Struthio camelus: one gene and its partners. The main gene of each other region encodes a partner of the protein of the gene in region 3 in a complex. Links are inferred from orthologs where the notes say so. Each region holds a gene or a part of one and is shown on either strand. Other genes may lie near its edges.

Evidence for each region.
Region 1: PLRG1 (region 3) and SCNM1 share a complex: the UniProt entries of both Homo sapiens proteins name them as parts of the minor spliceosome. The link is inferred for Struthio camelus from reciprocal best matches to the Homo sapiens genes PLRG1 and SCNM1.
Region 2: PLRG1 (region 3) and SRRM2 share a complex: the UniProt entries of both Homo sapiens proteins name them as parts of the minor spliceosome. The link is inferred for Struthio camelus from reciprocal best matches to the Homo sapiens genes PLRG1 and SRRM2.

Annotation. Positions count from the first base shown.
Region 1 is NC_090971.1:23,593-27,403, forward strand, and holds the start of SCNM1 (sodium channel modifier 1), read left to right. Parts: upstream 1-1,375; 5' UTR 1,376-1,504; coding exon 1,505-1,555; intron 1,556-2,528; coding exon 2,529-2,599; exon of another isoform or gene 2,600-2,603; coding exon of another isoform or gene 2,604-2,614; intron 2,615-2,750; coding exon 2,751-2,839; intron 2,840-2,913; coding exon 2,914-3,011; intron 3,012-3,086; coding exon 3,087-3,181; intron 3,182-3,388; coding exon 3,389-3,561; intron 3,562-3,706; coding exon 3,707-3,811. Other genes in the region: LYSMD1 (lysM and putative peptidoglycan-binding domain-containing protein 1), read right to left, coding at 223-354. UniProt on the Homo sapiens protein: As a component of the minor spliceosome, involved in the splicing of U12-type introns in pre-mRNAs. Plays a role in the regulation of primary cilia length and Hedgehog signaling.
Region 2 is NC_090973.1:764,978-768,577, forward strand, and holds the start of SRRM2 (serine/arginine repetitive matrix protein 2), read left to right. Parts: upstream 1-1,392; 5' UTR 1,393-1,580; intron 1,581-3,600. UniProt on the Homo sapiens protein: Required for pre-mRNA splicing as component of the spliceosome. As a component of the minor spliceosome, involved in the splicing of U12-type introns in pre-mRNAs.
Region 3 is NC_090945.1:39,287,137-39,290,947, reverse strand, and holds the start of PLRG1 (pleiotropic regulator 1), read left to right. Parts: upstream 1-1,413; 5' UTR 1,414-1,532; coding exon 1,533-1,541; intron 1,542-2,901; coding exon 2,902-3,008; intron 3,009-3,230; coding exon 3,231-3,373; intron 3,374-3,811. UniProt on the Homo sapiens protein: Involved in pre-mRNA splicing as component of the spliceosome. Component of the PRP19-CDC5L complex that forms an integral part of the spliceosome and is required for activating pre-mRNA splicing.

The DNA of each region.
Region 1 (3,811 bases), on a different chromosome or scaffold from region 3:
ATGTCCTGCCCCATGGCAGCCCCCAGTGCCCCAGCAGCCCCTGGTCCCCCCCTGCCCCAGCTGTCCAGTCCCCCCCAGCAGCCCCCTGCCCCATGGCAGCTCCTAGCCCCCCAGCAACCCTCCAGCAGCCCCCCTGCCCCGTGGCAGCCCCCAGCAATCCCCCAGCAGCCCCCCTGCCCCATGGCTGCCCCCTGCACCCCAGCAGCCTCCAGCCCCGCTCACCGTGACGCCATAGCGCAGCGCCAGGCCTGCCAGCGTGTCCCCGGGCTCCAGGCGATGCTCGCGGCCCAGCAGCCCCCCCGGCCCTGGCCCACCACCGTCCCCCACCACCTCCCGCCCCAGGGGTGCCGCCATGGCGGGACGGCCCCACTCACCCCTGGCCCCTGCCGACGCCCTGGCACATGCCGGGGGGGCTCATGTTAACACTCCACCCACCCAACCCACTCCCGGGGGCCACCCTGCACCCCGATACCCCTACACTGGGGCTCGGAGGGACGGGACCCCCACTTCCCGGAGGGCCCAGGCGTTCTGGCGTGCCGCCCGTGGGGGTGATGCTAAGGGCGGGGGGGGGCCTTTGGCCGCCTCTCCGGCCCCCCCTCAGTACTGCTACCAGCCTGCCAGGCCCGCCCCCCCCCCGCCTCCAGTAAACCCAGTCTGGCTGCGGACTGGGTAGGGAGATGCCAGGCCCGGCCGGCCCTCGCGAAGGTCTCTGGGAGACGTAGTCTCGGGGGCAGAGGGCAGCGGGGGTGTTCCCCCCCACGCCATGGCCTGCAGTCGGGCGTCCCCTCGCAGCCCTGGCCTCAGCCTGTGCCCCCCACATGGGACCATCCCTGCCGTGGGGCTGCCCCCCCAGGGGCTTTCTGCACCCCCCCGCCCCTCCTTATTCCCCTAGGGTCTCTGTCCCCCCCCAGGGTCCCGCCCCCCAAAGGGTCCTCTCTGCTCCCTCTGGGTGCTCCCTGCCCCGCCCAGGACTCCTCCCCAAGGGTCCTCCTTGCCCTCCAGGGCACCTACTCCCCGTCAGGGCCCTCATTCATTCCCCATGTCCCTCTGTGACCCCCAAGGTCCCTGCCCCCAGGGTCCTGCCTCCTCCAAGGGTTCCTGCCCCCCACCAGGGGCCCTTTCTGCCCCCATCAAGGGCCACCGCCGACCCCTGATCCCCCTAAATGTTCCTGTCCCCCAGGATCCTTTCTTGTCCCCCTTAGGCGCTGCCCCATGAACCCCCCCCACCTTCGCCCAATAGTCCTCCCTGTCCCGCCCCGGGTCTCATCCCCCCCGACCTCTCCCCCTAGCAGCCCAGCTTGGGGGTAGAGAACTACAGCTCCCAGCATGTCGTGCGCGCGGGGGTAGGGTCCTGCTGCCGCAAGGCACTGTGGGAGTACCAACCCCGCCCTCTCCCTTCCCTGTTGGTCGCCGCGCCGGCCCGTGGCCCGCCGGGAAAGGCGGCCTGGAAGTGGGGAGGGGACGGCGGTTCCTACGGTAACCGCGGGCTGCGCCAGCGGCCGCTATGTCCTTCAAGCGGGAGGGAGACGATCCCGGCCAGCTCGGTGTGCTGCAGGTAGGACCTCCAGTGCCCCCGGGACCCCCCAACAGCTCAAGCCTCCCACACCTAGGATCCCTGGTCCAGCACCCTCGAGGCCCCCAACAGTTCAGGATCCCGCCCGCCGTCCTCCCTGCCCCCCAATGACCCCCTAGACCCGCCCCCTGTCCTCCCTGCCCCCCAGATCCTCCCCAGGCCCCCCTCCCATTCTCCCTGTTCCCAGATACCCCTCTGCCCTACAAATAGTCCCAGACCTCTTCCCCCTTCTCCCTGTTCCCAAATATTCCCCACCTTAACTTTCTCCTCCTTCTTCCTGCCTTCAATTACCCCCTGCCCCCCCTTAATGCCCTCCACCCTAGACCTGCCCCCCAGTTATCCTCTGTCCTGACTTGACCCCTTCAACATCCCCCTACTCCCAGACTTCTCCCAGACCTGCCCCCAAATCCCTCCCAGCCCTCAAATCCCCCTGCACACAAATACTCTCCTGCCCCCAAACCAGCCCTTCAAATACCCCCTGCCCTGACCCCCCTCCTTATTCTTCCTTGCCAAATATGGCCCTATCCACACCCCCTTCCCTCAGAGCTCTCTCTGAAAATACCCCTTCTCCCCCAAATATTCCCTTCCCTCGCTCTGACTCCCAACCTGACCCCCCAAATACTCCCTTCCTTCACCTCAGCTTGTGCTGTTCTCCAATCTCCCCCTGAAAATCTCCCCTAGCTGCCCCCTCTCTCCCCCACCTCAACCCCCCCCCCCCGTTTCCCCCACCTGCACCCCCTTCCCAGCTGGCTCCTCATCATTGCTGCCCCCTTTAGGGGTCCCCCGGGTGCCCAGGTTTCCTGGCTGAAGGGTGGATGGGTCCGTGGTGTGGCTGGGCTATGGGTGAGGATTGATCCCCTGGTCTGTCCCACTTGGACTGGTGAGAGTGCAGGGTGAATCATAGGCAGAAACCGCCTCCGGCAGCAGCTAACGTGACCTTGTTTGTCCCTCTCAGAAACGACGCGTCGCGGACCTGCTCGCCAACTATATCCCTGAGGACGAGGCAGTGCTGCTGAGGAGTGGGAGGTGAATGGGATCCATGTGGGTGGGCAAACCCTGAGCTTCCGTGGGCCTGGGCAGCTGGAACGACTCAAACCTCTCTTGCCACCAGGGACTGCTCTGCCAGTCTCCGAGTGCGGAGATGGGCGAGCCTGACGGCGTCTCCTCCCCTACACAGGTATACCTGCACCGTGTGTGCCCACCGCCCCATCTTCGATACTCTGGATGTGCTGGCGGTCCACAGGGCTGGCAAGAAACACGTTGCCAGTAAGTGCACAGGCTTGGCAGGGGGAGGCCGCTGCTGCACCAGGCCGGCCCACGACCCTCTCACTCTCTTCTAGGCCTGCAGAGCTTCTACGGCAGGAAGCACTCACTTGAGAACGAGGTGCAAAAGCGACAGCACGAGAAATTCGTGCGGGCGGAGGAGGCAGGCACACAGGTGGGTGCAGATGCCCCTTCCCCTCCCCACTAGACCCTCGACCAGACTGGCTTGAGCTCTGCCCCTTCCCCCCAGGGCTCTCCAGCCCCTTTGCTGGTGCGAACAAGGAGGATAGCCCAGAGCGCTCTGCTGAAAGCTGCTCCCTACAGCAGCTGCTGCCGGAGGATGGGGTAAGATCTTGGGGGTTCCTGCCCTCTCAGGGGTGAATGAAGTGAGTGGGCATCACCTTTCCACCTTGTGCAGCTTTGTCATTACCGACTCGCACTCTGTGGAATGCCCCTTCCTTGGCTGCCATCCCCCAGCTGGTAACAGGCACTCGTGGGATGACATTTAGGCGGTGATGGCTGGAGCTGGGCGTCACGCCTCTCCCATCCTAGGGTGAATGGAAATGGCTCAAGAGCAGGTATGACCCAGACGGAGCTGAGCACCGCCCCTGTGCGAATCGCTGCCACGGCCTCTCCAGAGCCCAGAGTCCCCTCGCAGAAGATCAAGGAGGCTGTGGGCACCACCCCAGTGGCCCTGCTGCCAGGGTGCTGTAGCGGGCGAGCAGGTAAAAGTGGGCCAGTGGCTCTGGGTCAGCACTGGTGCCAATGAGAAAGCCCACCGGGTTTCGGCTTGTTTGCAGCCCTGGCCCTGCCTTGGTTTCTCTCTTTTCTGCGGGTCTCGCCAGCTCATGCTCCTCTCCATTCTCCCAGACGTACCAAAGGCAGCTACCACCCAGACCCAGCAAGGTGGCAAAGGAAAAGCCTCGCCATCGCCTGCAAGCCAGCCTGAAGCCCTCAACCCCAAGAGGCGCCAGG
Region 2 (3,600 bases), on a different chromosome or scaffold from region 3:
TTTTGGGGCAATAAACATCTTAACTTTGCCCTTTTGGGGGCAAAAAACCCCACCTTAACTCGGCCCTTTTAGGGGCAAAAAAACCACCTTAACTCGGCCCCTTTGGAGGTAAAACCAGCCTTAATTCAGTCCTTTGTTGGGGCAAAAAACACCTTTACTCTGCCCTTTTGGGGGGCAAAACTCGCCTTAACTCTGCCCTTTCCTGGGGCATAATCGGCCTTAACTCGGCCTTTTTAGGGGCAAAAGGCAGCCTTAACTCTGCCTTTTTGGGGGTAAAAACAGCCTTAACTCGGCCCTTTTTTGGGGAGGCAAAAATAGCCTTAACTCTGCCCTTTTTGGGGCAAAAATGGCCTTAACTCGGCCCTTTTGGGGGCAAAAATGGCCTTAACTCAGCCCTTTTTAGGGGCAAAACTGGACTTACATCTACCCTTTCCTCAGGCAAAAATAGCCTTAACTCGGCCCTTTTTGGGGCAAAAACGGCCTTAACTCGGCCCTTTTTTGGGGCAATAAACATCCTAACTTTTCCCTTTTAGGGACAAAAAACCCCACCTTAACTCGGCCCTTTTGGGGGCAAAATCAGCCTTAACTCGGCCCTTTCCTGGGGCAAAACCGGACTTAACTCGGCCGATTTTGGGGGGGGGGGCAAAAACAGCCTTAACTCGGCCCTTTTGGGGGCAAAAAAGGCCCTAAATTGGCCCTTTCCTGGGGCAAAAAATAGGCTTAAATCTGCCCTTGGGGGGGGGGGCAAAACCGGCCTTAACTCGGTCCTTTTGGGGATAAAAACGGCTTTAACGGTCCATCGCCGGCGGGGACGCCTGGGCCCCCCGTTGGGGGGGGGGAGGGGGCTGGGGCCGGCTCGGGGACCCGGACGCCTGGGCCCCCTGGGGGAGAAGCGCTTCTGATTGGCTGGACGAAGCGCCCAGACGCTGGCGAGCGGCCAGCGCTGGGCCCACGTAACGCTGATTGGCTGGGCGCCCGGGAGGGGCGGTGCTGATTGGCTGGCGGCGGGCGCGGCCGGCGCTGATTGGTTGGCGGCGGAGCGAGGACATGGGCGATGCCCATTGGCCGGCGCTCGGCGGCCTCTTCCGCACCTGCGCGGAAGGAGGACGGGGCGCCCCCCCTCCTCCACGGGGAAGGTGGAGGCCACAAGATGGCGGGCGCCGCGAGGCACGCCGGGAGTTGTAGTCCCGCCCCGCCTCCCGCCGCTGGCAGCCGGGCGCCGCGCGGACTCCCGCTCCCGGCGTGCCCCGCGCGCAGGCGGCCAGCCGCCGCCACAAGATGGCGGCGCCGGCGCGCGGGGGCCGCCGGGAGTTGTAGTCCGGCGCCTCGTAACCCACCAATGGGCTCCGCGGGGAGGCGGAACTTCATTTCCCGGCGGGCCGTGCGCGCGCCGAAGTGACGTCAGCGGCGGGGCGGAGGAGGGGGGGGGGGAAGGGAAGAGAAGGGGCCGGAAGGGGAGGCCGCGCGGGTAGGCGGGGGCGCGTGGCGTCGCCTCGCGTCTCTTCGTCCGGGTCTCGCAGCCGCGGCAGCCTCGAGCGCGGGGGAGGGTCCCCGCGCGGCGCGAGCGGAGCCGCCGGCTGGTGAGACGGCGGGGAGGGGGCGAAGGGGAAAGGGAAGCAGATAACGCGGGGACGCGAGCGCGGGTGGGAGTGGGGGGGGCGGGCGCGCGCGTACGTGCGCGTGCGCCGCGGGCGACCGTTGGCCCCGGGGAGGGGGAGGGGCGGGCGCGCGGCGCGGCCGTTGGCCCGCGTGGGGGGGGGTGGGGGAGGGGCGCGGCAAGGGCCGTTCAGGAGCGGCCGTTAGGGGCGGGGGGGGCGTTTTGAGGGGGAAAACAAGGTTTTCATCGAGTTTGGGGTGCGGTTGTGAGGGAAAAGTGGGTGCGTGGAGGGGGATGGGGGAAGTTGTGAGGGGAAATGGGGTGCGGGAGGAGGTTTTTGGGGGGGAAAGTTTTTTTCAAGGAGCTTGGGGGGCAGTTGTGAGGGGAAAGTGGGTGCGTGGAGGGATTTTGGGGGGAAACAAGGTTTTCCTGGGGTTTGGGGTGCGGTTGTGAGGGAAAAGTGTGTGGGTGGAGGGAGATGGCGGAAGTTGTGAGGGGAAATGGGGTGCGGGAGAGGGTTTGGGGGGGGAAAAGTTTTTTGAAGGAGTTTGGGAGGCGGTAGTGAGGGGAAAGTGGGTGCGTGGAGGGATTTGGGGAGAGTTTTAGGGGAAAACAAAGTTTTCCTGGGGTTTGGGGTGCGGTTGTGAGGGAAAAGTGTTTAGGTGGAGGGTTTTGGGGGTAGTTTTAAGGGGAAAAAATTTTTTTCAGAGGTGCTTGGGTGCAGTTGTGAGGGAAAAGTGGGTGCGTGGAGAAGTTGGGGAGAGTTTTGGGGGAAAACAAGGTTTTCAAAGAGGTTTGGGGTGCAGTTGTGAGGAGAAAGTGGGAGCATAGAGGGTTTTGGGGGGCATTTTGAGGGGAAAAAGTTTTTCAGAGGGCTTTGGGGTGCGGCGGCGAGGTGAAAGTAGGTGTGTAGAGGATTTTGGGGAGAGTTTTAAGAGAAAACAAAGTTTTCAGAGGTGCTTGGGGTGCAGTTGTGAGGGGAAAGCAGGTGTGTGGAGAGATTTGGGGTGAGTTTTGAGGGAAAGCAAGGTTTTCAGAGCAATTTGGGATGCAGTTGTGAGGGGAAAGGGGGTGTGTGGAGGAGTTTGGGGGGAATTTTGGGGGAAAACAAGGTTTTCAAAGGGGTTTAGGGTGCAGTTGTGAAGGGAAAAGTGGGTGCGTGGAGAAGTTGAGAGTTTTGAGGGGAAAAAAGTGGTTTGAGGGCTTGGGGTGCAATTGTGACAGGAAAGTAGGGGTGTAGAGGATTTTGGGGAGAGTTTTAAGAGAAAACAAAGTTTTCAGAGGTGCTTGGGGTGCAGTTGTGAGGGGAAAGCGGGTGTGTGGAGGGATTTGGGGGGAGTTTTGAGGGAAAGCAAGGTTTTCCTGCAGTTTGGGGTGCAGTTGTGAGGGGAAAGCGGGTGTGTGGAGGAGTGAGGGAGAGTTTGGAGAGGAAGAAAGTGGTTTGAGGGCTTGGGGTGCAGTTGTGAGGGGAAAGTAAGGGTGTAGAGGGATTTGGGGTGAGTTTTGAGGGAAAACAAGGTTTTCATTGGGGTTTGGGGTGCAGTTGTGAGGGGAAAGTGGGAGCATAGAGAGTTTTGGGGGGAGTTTTGGGGAAAATTTTTCAGAGGGGTTTGGGGTGCGGTTGTGAGGGAAAAGTAATGGTGTAAAGGGATTTGGGGGGAGTTTTAGGGGAAAACAAGGTTTTCATTGGGGTTTGGGGTGCAGTTGTGAGGGGAAAGTGGGAGCATAGAGAGTTTTGGGGGGAGTTTTGGGGAAAATTTTTCAGAGGGGTTTGGGGTGCGGTTGTGAGGGAAAAGTAATGGTGTAAAGGGATTTGGGGGGAGTTTTAGGGGAAAACAAAGTTTTCATCAGGTTTGGGGTGCAGTTGTGAGGGGAAAAGTGGGTGCGTGGAGGGTTTTGGGGGGAGTTTTGGGGAAAATTTTTCAGAGGGGTTTGGGGTGCGGTTGTGAGGGAAAATTGTGTGGGTGGAGGGTTTTGGGAATTTTGGGGGAAAGCAAGGTTTT
Region 3 (3,811 bases):
CTTTGAAAAAAATATGGACTTCAGTCCTTTAGCAATTCACACCTTGTCATGAGATGTAGGGATCACCAACTCATATACAACTTTAGTTCCCATTTTAAAGTAGCATTCCCATGGACATAAGTTAAAGAAATCTTTCCAGAAGAGTTATCAAGTATAACTGTTAGAATATTACATAACACTAATATTTTTCTTTAGAGGTTGCATTTTACTCCTGGGTTTAAAAAATTGTCCATGTCCAACTCATTGTGTACGGTTTCATGAACCGGCTTTATCTTGGAGAACTCATGAAGGAAATGACCATTAAGATATGTAACCGCACCACACAAAACAATTAAAAACGCCATCACGTCCTATAAAATCAAGCTGACATCACTCGTAATAGGGGATCCTTACGGGTATTTCATGCTTGTTCTCACAAGGTCTTAGCAAGACACAGTTTATCTTTCAGAAAGCTCAATATTGCACTCCGCTGTTCGGTAGCTGTAACTGCGGCTTGCATAGGCTGGCGTTAAAGCATTTCTTGTTCACGCTTGCGCTGAACATGTGTAGCTTCACCACGGGAAGATTTACTAGTTCGTGATGACGGTGACTGTGAAGGGTTGCTTTTAAGACAGAAGTATCAGCACGGTGACGTGCCCTTGCTTACGCCGAGTCCCTGCCACAGCCAGTCTTGATTATATGATTAAAAATCGTCGGTATCAACTAACCCAACAGGACCGAATCAAGATGTTGTATCGGTCTAGCTGATACAACTAGCATAAAATATTAGCACTTTTTTCTGCTTGGGCGGTTGCTCATTTACCTCCATCTTGACCGCTCCCACCCCAGAGCGGTCTCAGTTTTTCTCTCCGTGTTTTATTTTTATTTATATGGTTGAAAAACCATTTGTCATTTGTTTTAGCTTCATCTGCAAGGCCTAATTCAACTCAAGTTTCGATACGTGCCAGTTTATCACTAGACAAAACACCACCAGACAGCCCAACCTCCACGACTCATTAAGGAGGCTCTTCCCGGCTCTCTGCAGGTCTTGCTTTGCTCCCCTAGGAGCCGTTTCCCTACTCCGTAGACCCATTTTGTGGCGGTTGTTACCCCTCCACCTCAGCAGCCCCTGCATGGAGGTTTTTGCTAGTGCTTGGTGAGCACCTGCAAGATCCAGATTTTTTTTTTTAACTGATAAAAGGACATTTGACTGCTGCCAGCCACTAGCAACTCCCCTTTCTGGAGCCGAAGCCTCAGGCACAGCCCTACCTCGCCTCACTGACCCCTCTCGCCCCGAGCGGGACTCGAACCCGCAGACCCCAGGCACGGGAAATAGGGGGTGGTGCGGCTGAGCCCCGCCCAAACTGCGCCGCCGCCGCCGCCGCCAACGGCCCATTCCGGCCCCGCCCTTCGCCTCCCTCCCTCCGCCCGTCCCCGGCGCGCGTGCGCGCTCGCCGCGCGGCGCGCCACTTCCGGTGCGGCGCGAGGCAGGCGCCGGAAGTGCCTCCATAGCGGGTGGCGGTGAGCTGCGGCTGTCCGAGGTGGCCGGCGCCATGGTGGAGGTGAGGCGGCCGGACCCCGCGGCGCGGTGGCGGCGGAGCGCGGCGCGAGGCGACGGGGGCGGCTTGGGCCCGTGAAGGCGGCGGCTGCGGCGGTCCCTCGGCCTTTGCGGCGCCCCTGGCCCCGAGGGCAGCGCGGGAGGGTTTCCTCGGCCTCGGTGGGCCGTGGTTTGCGAGGCTGAGGCCGGGCGTGGAGGCGGGCGCGGGGCTGTGCCCCTCTCGGGCCTTGTTAGCTAGTCGGGAACGCGGTGGGTTTCTCGTGAGGTCTCGGCAGCGCTGCCCGGCAGGCGGCCGCCGCGTTTGTCGGCGGTGGGGTAGTTAGCGTGGAGCGAGTTTCGTGCGCTGCTGAAAACAGGGAACTGTCAGGAGCCTGTAAGAAAATGTAAAGAATGCTGGCCTATGTCAGGCTGCCTGCTGTTTTTTTCAGTGTGGTATCTCTGTCGAAAGCGTTGCCAGATGCTCCACGATCTTCCGTTCGTAATGGGGAGGCATTCTGTTACTTGGCGCTCGTGTGGTGTTTACAATAGCTACTGTAGTTGAACAGCAGTTCTTCCCCGTAGTTCTTTCTTCAGTTTGCATGAAACTCCCAACCCAGTTCCAAAAAGTGTTAACGTAGTTTCCAGTTTATTGCTGTTATTTCTGTGATGTGCAGAACAAAGGCAGTCCTATAGAGAGTTCTGTTTTCAGCTATTTCCTAATGACTTTTTTTTTTTATCTTTGGGAGGAAAAGATTTGAAAACAAAAACTGAACTGTGCTGGTAATAAGAGAGTATTCTGTAGAAAGAGACCTAAAAGTTTTGTTATTTTGCTTCTTAGTCTTTGAATGGAATTTTAATGTTTTGCTTTTGGTAATAAGGAAACAAAATTATTTGGAGAAAACAAATTTTGTCAGGTTTGAGCCCATGTTTGCTCCCGTGCTTGCATTAAGTGACACAGTTTACACAGAAGTTTTATGAATGCTCTTGTTCTTTTTATGGAGATAGTGAAATAGAATTTATAGGAATGTTTTCAGAATCAGTTACTATATAAAAACAGAACTGGCAAGTGTGTAGGAAAATCTTTCCTGTTTATGTGTTCATCATATAGGTGCCAGTGCAGAAAGTTTGATCAAAGTTTTTGGCCTGCTTTTCTCAGTTTTGTTGGTTTCCAGGAAAGGGAGAGTTGAGTAAACACTGAATTAAAACAACACATAAACTTTAATGTTTAGTTTCCAACAAGAATGTTTTCTGCGAACTGGATAGTGCCGCATCATTTAACACTGTCAGGGCCTGAAATTGCTACTCTATTTAACTTGTATTACTGTTTTCAATTCCTTATTCAGCTGTGGCCAAATGTATTTAAATATGCTTTCCTTTATTTTTAGGAAGTCCAAAAGCATTCTGTGCACACACTTGTGTTCAGATCTTTGAAGAGAACCCATGATATGTTTGTAGCTGATAATGCCAAGCCTATACCATTAGATGAAGAAAGGTATGTGCTGCAATCAGTGAATTACTGGTATGTCTCAAAGCTTTAAATTATGGTAGCGGTTGTTCTAGTCAAGTCACAAGTTTGGATAGAATTACAGTGTGATGTTAAGGGAAGAAAAATTTGAGGATTGTAAAGTGAGTGGTGTCAAATGCTTTCTAAAATATTTCAAAAGTTAATAACAACTCAAAGATTAGGCTTTAATATGCTTTCCTCTTCCAACAGTCACAAAGTAAAGATGGCAGTCAAGTTGCGTACAGAGTATGGCTCAGTGTTGCACATGCCCACTCTGAAAGAAAACTTGAGAGAGAAAGGAGGCTCAAACACTGGGGATCCTTATGGACATAAACAGTATTCTGGCAATCAAGGTTAGTTTGCTCCTAATGGTATGTTTGTCTTTTGTTTTGGAAGAGACAGTCTCACTGAAGTTAGTTCTCAAGGCTGTAGTGTTAATCCATCACAGATACAGGAGGAAATCATAATAGCTGGTTTTCATTGGTATTTTTCTTGCTAGAGTTCAAAGGAGGTTAGTGATTTAGAACAAGGAAAAAGTTTGTTAGAATACAGGGAATGATACGATGCTGTGTAATTTTTACAGTAATTCAGAAACATAGTGTGTGTTATGCTTAGCTACTGGGAAAAGTATAAGCTCAGTGATGTATTTCTTCTTTTTCAGGTTGATGAAGTTTTTTTTTTTTTTTAAGTTTCATGGAATTTTTTTTCAGACTTTCTTTGGCTGTGCAGCTATTAAGTAGAAAAATCCATTTGTTTTAAATATGGTATCTTTTTGACTATTTTTTCTTTTT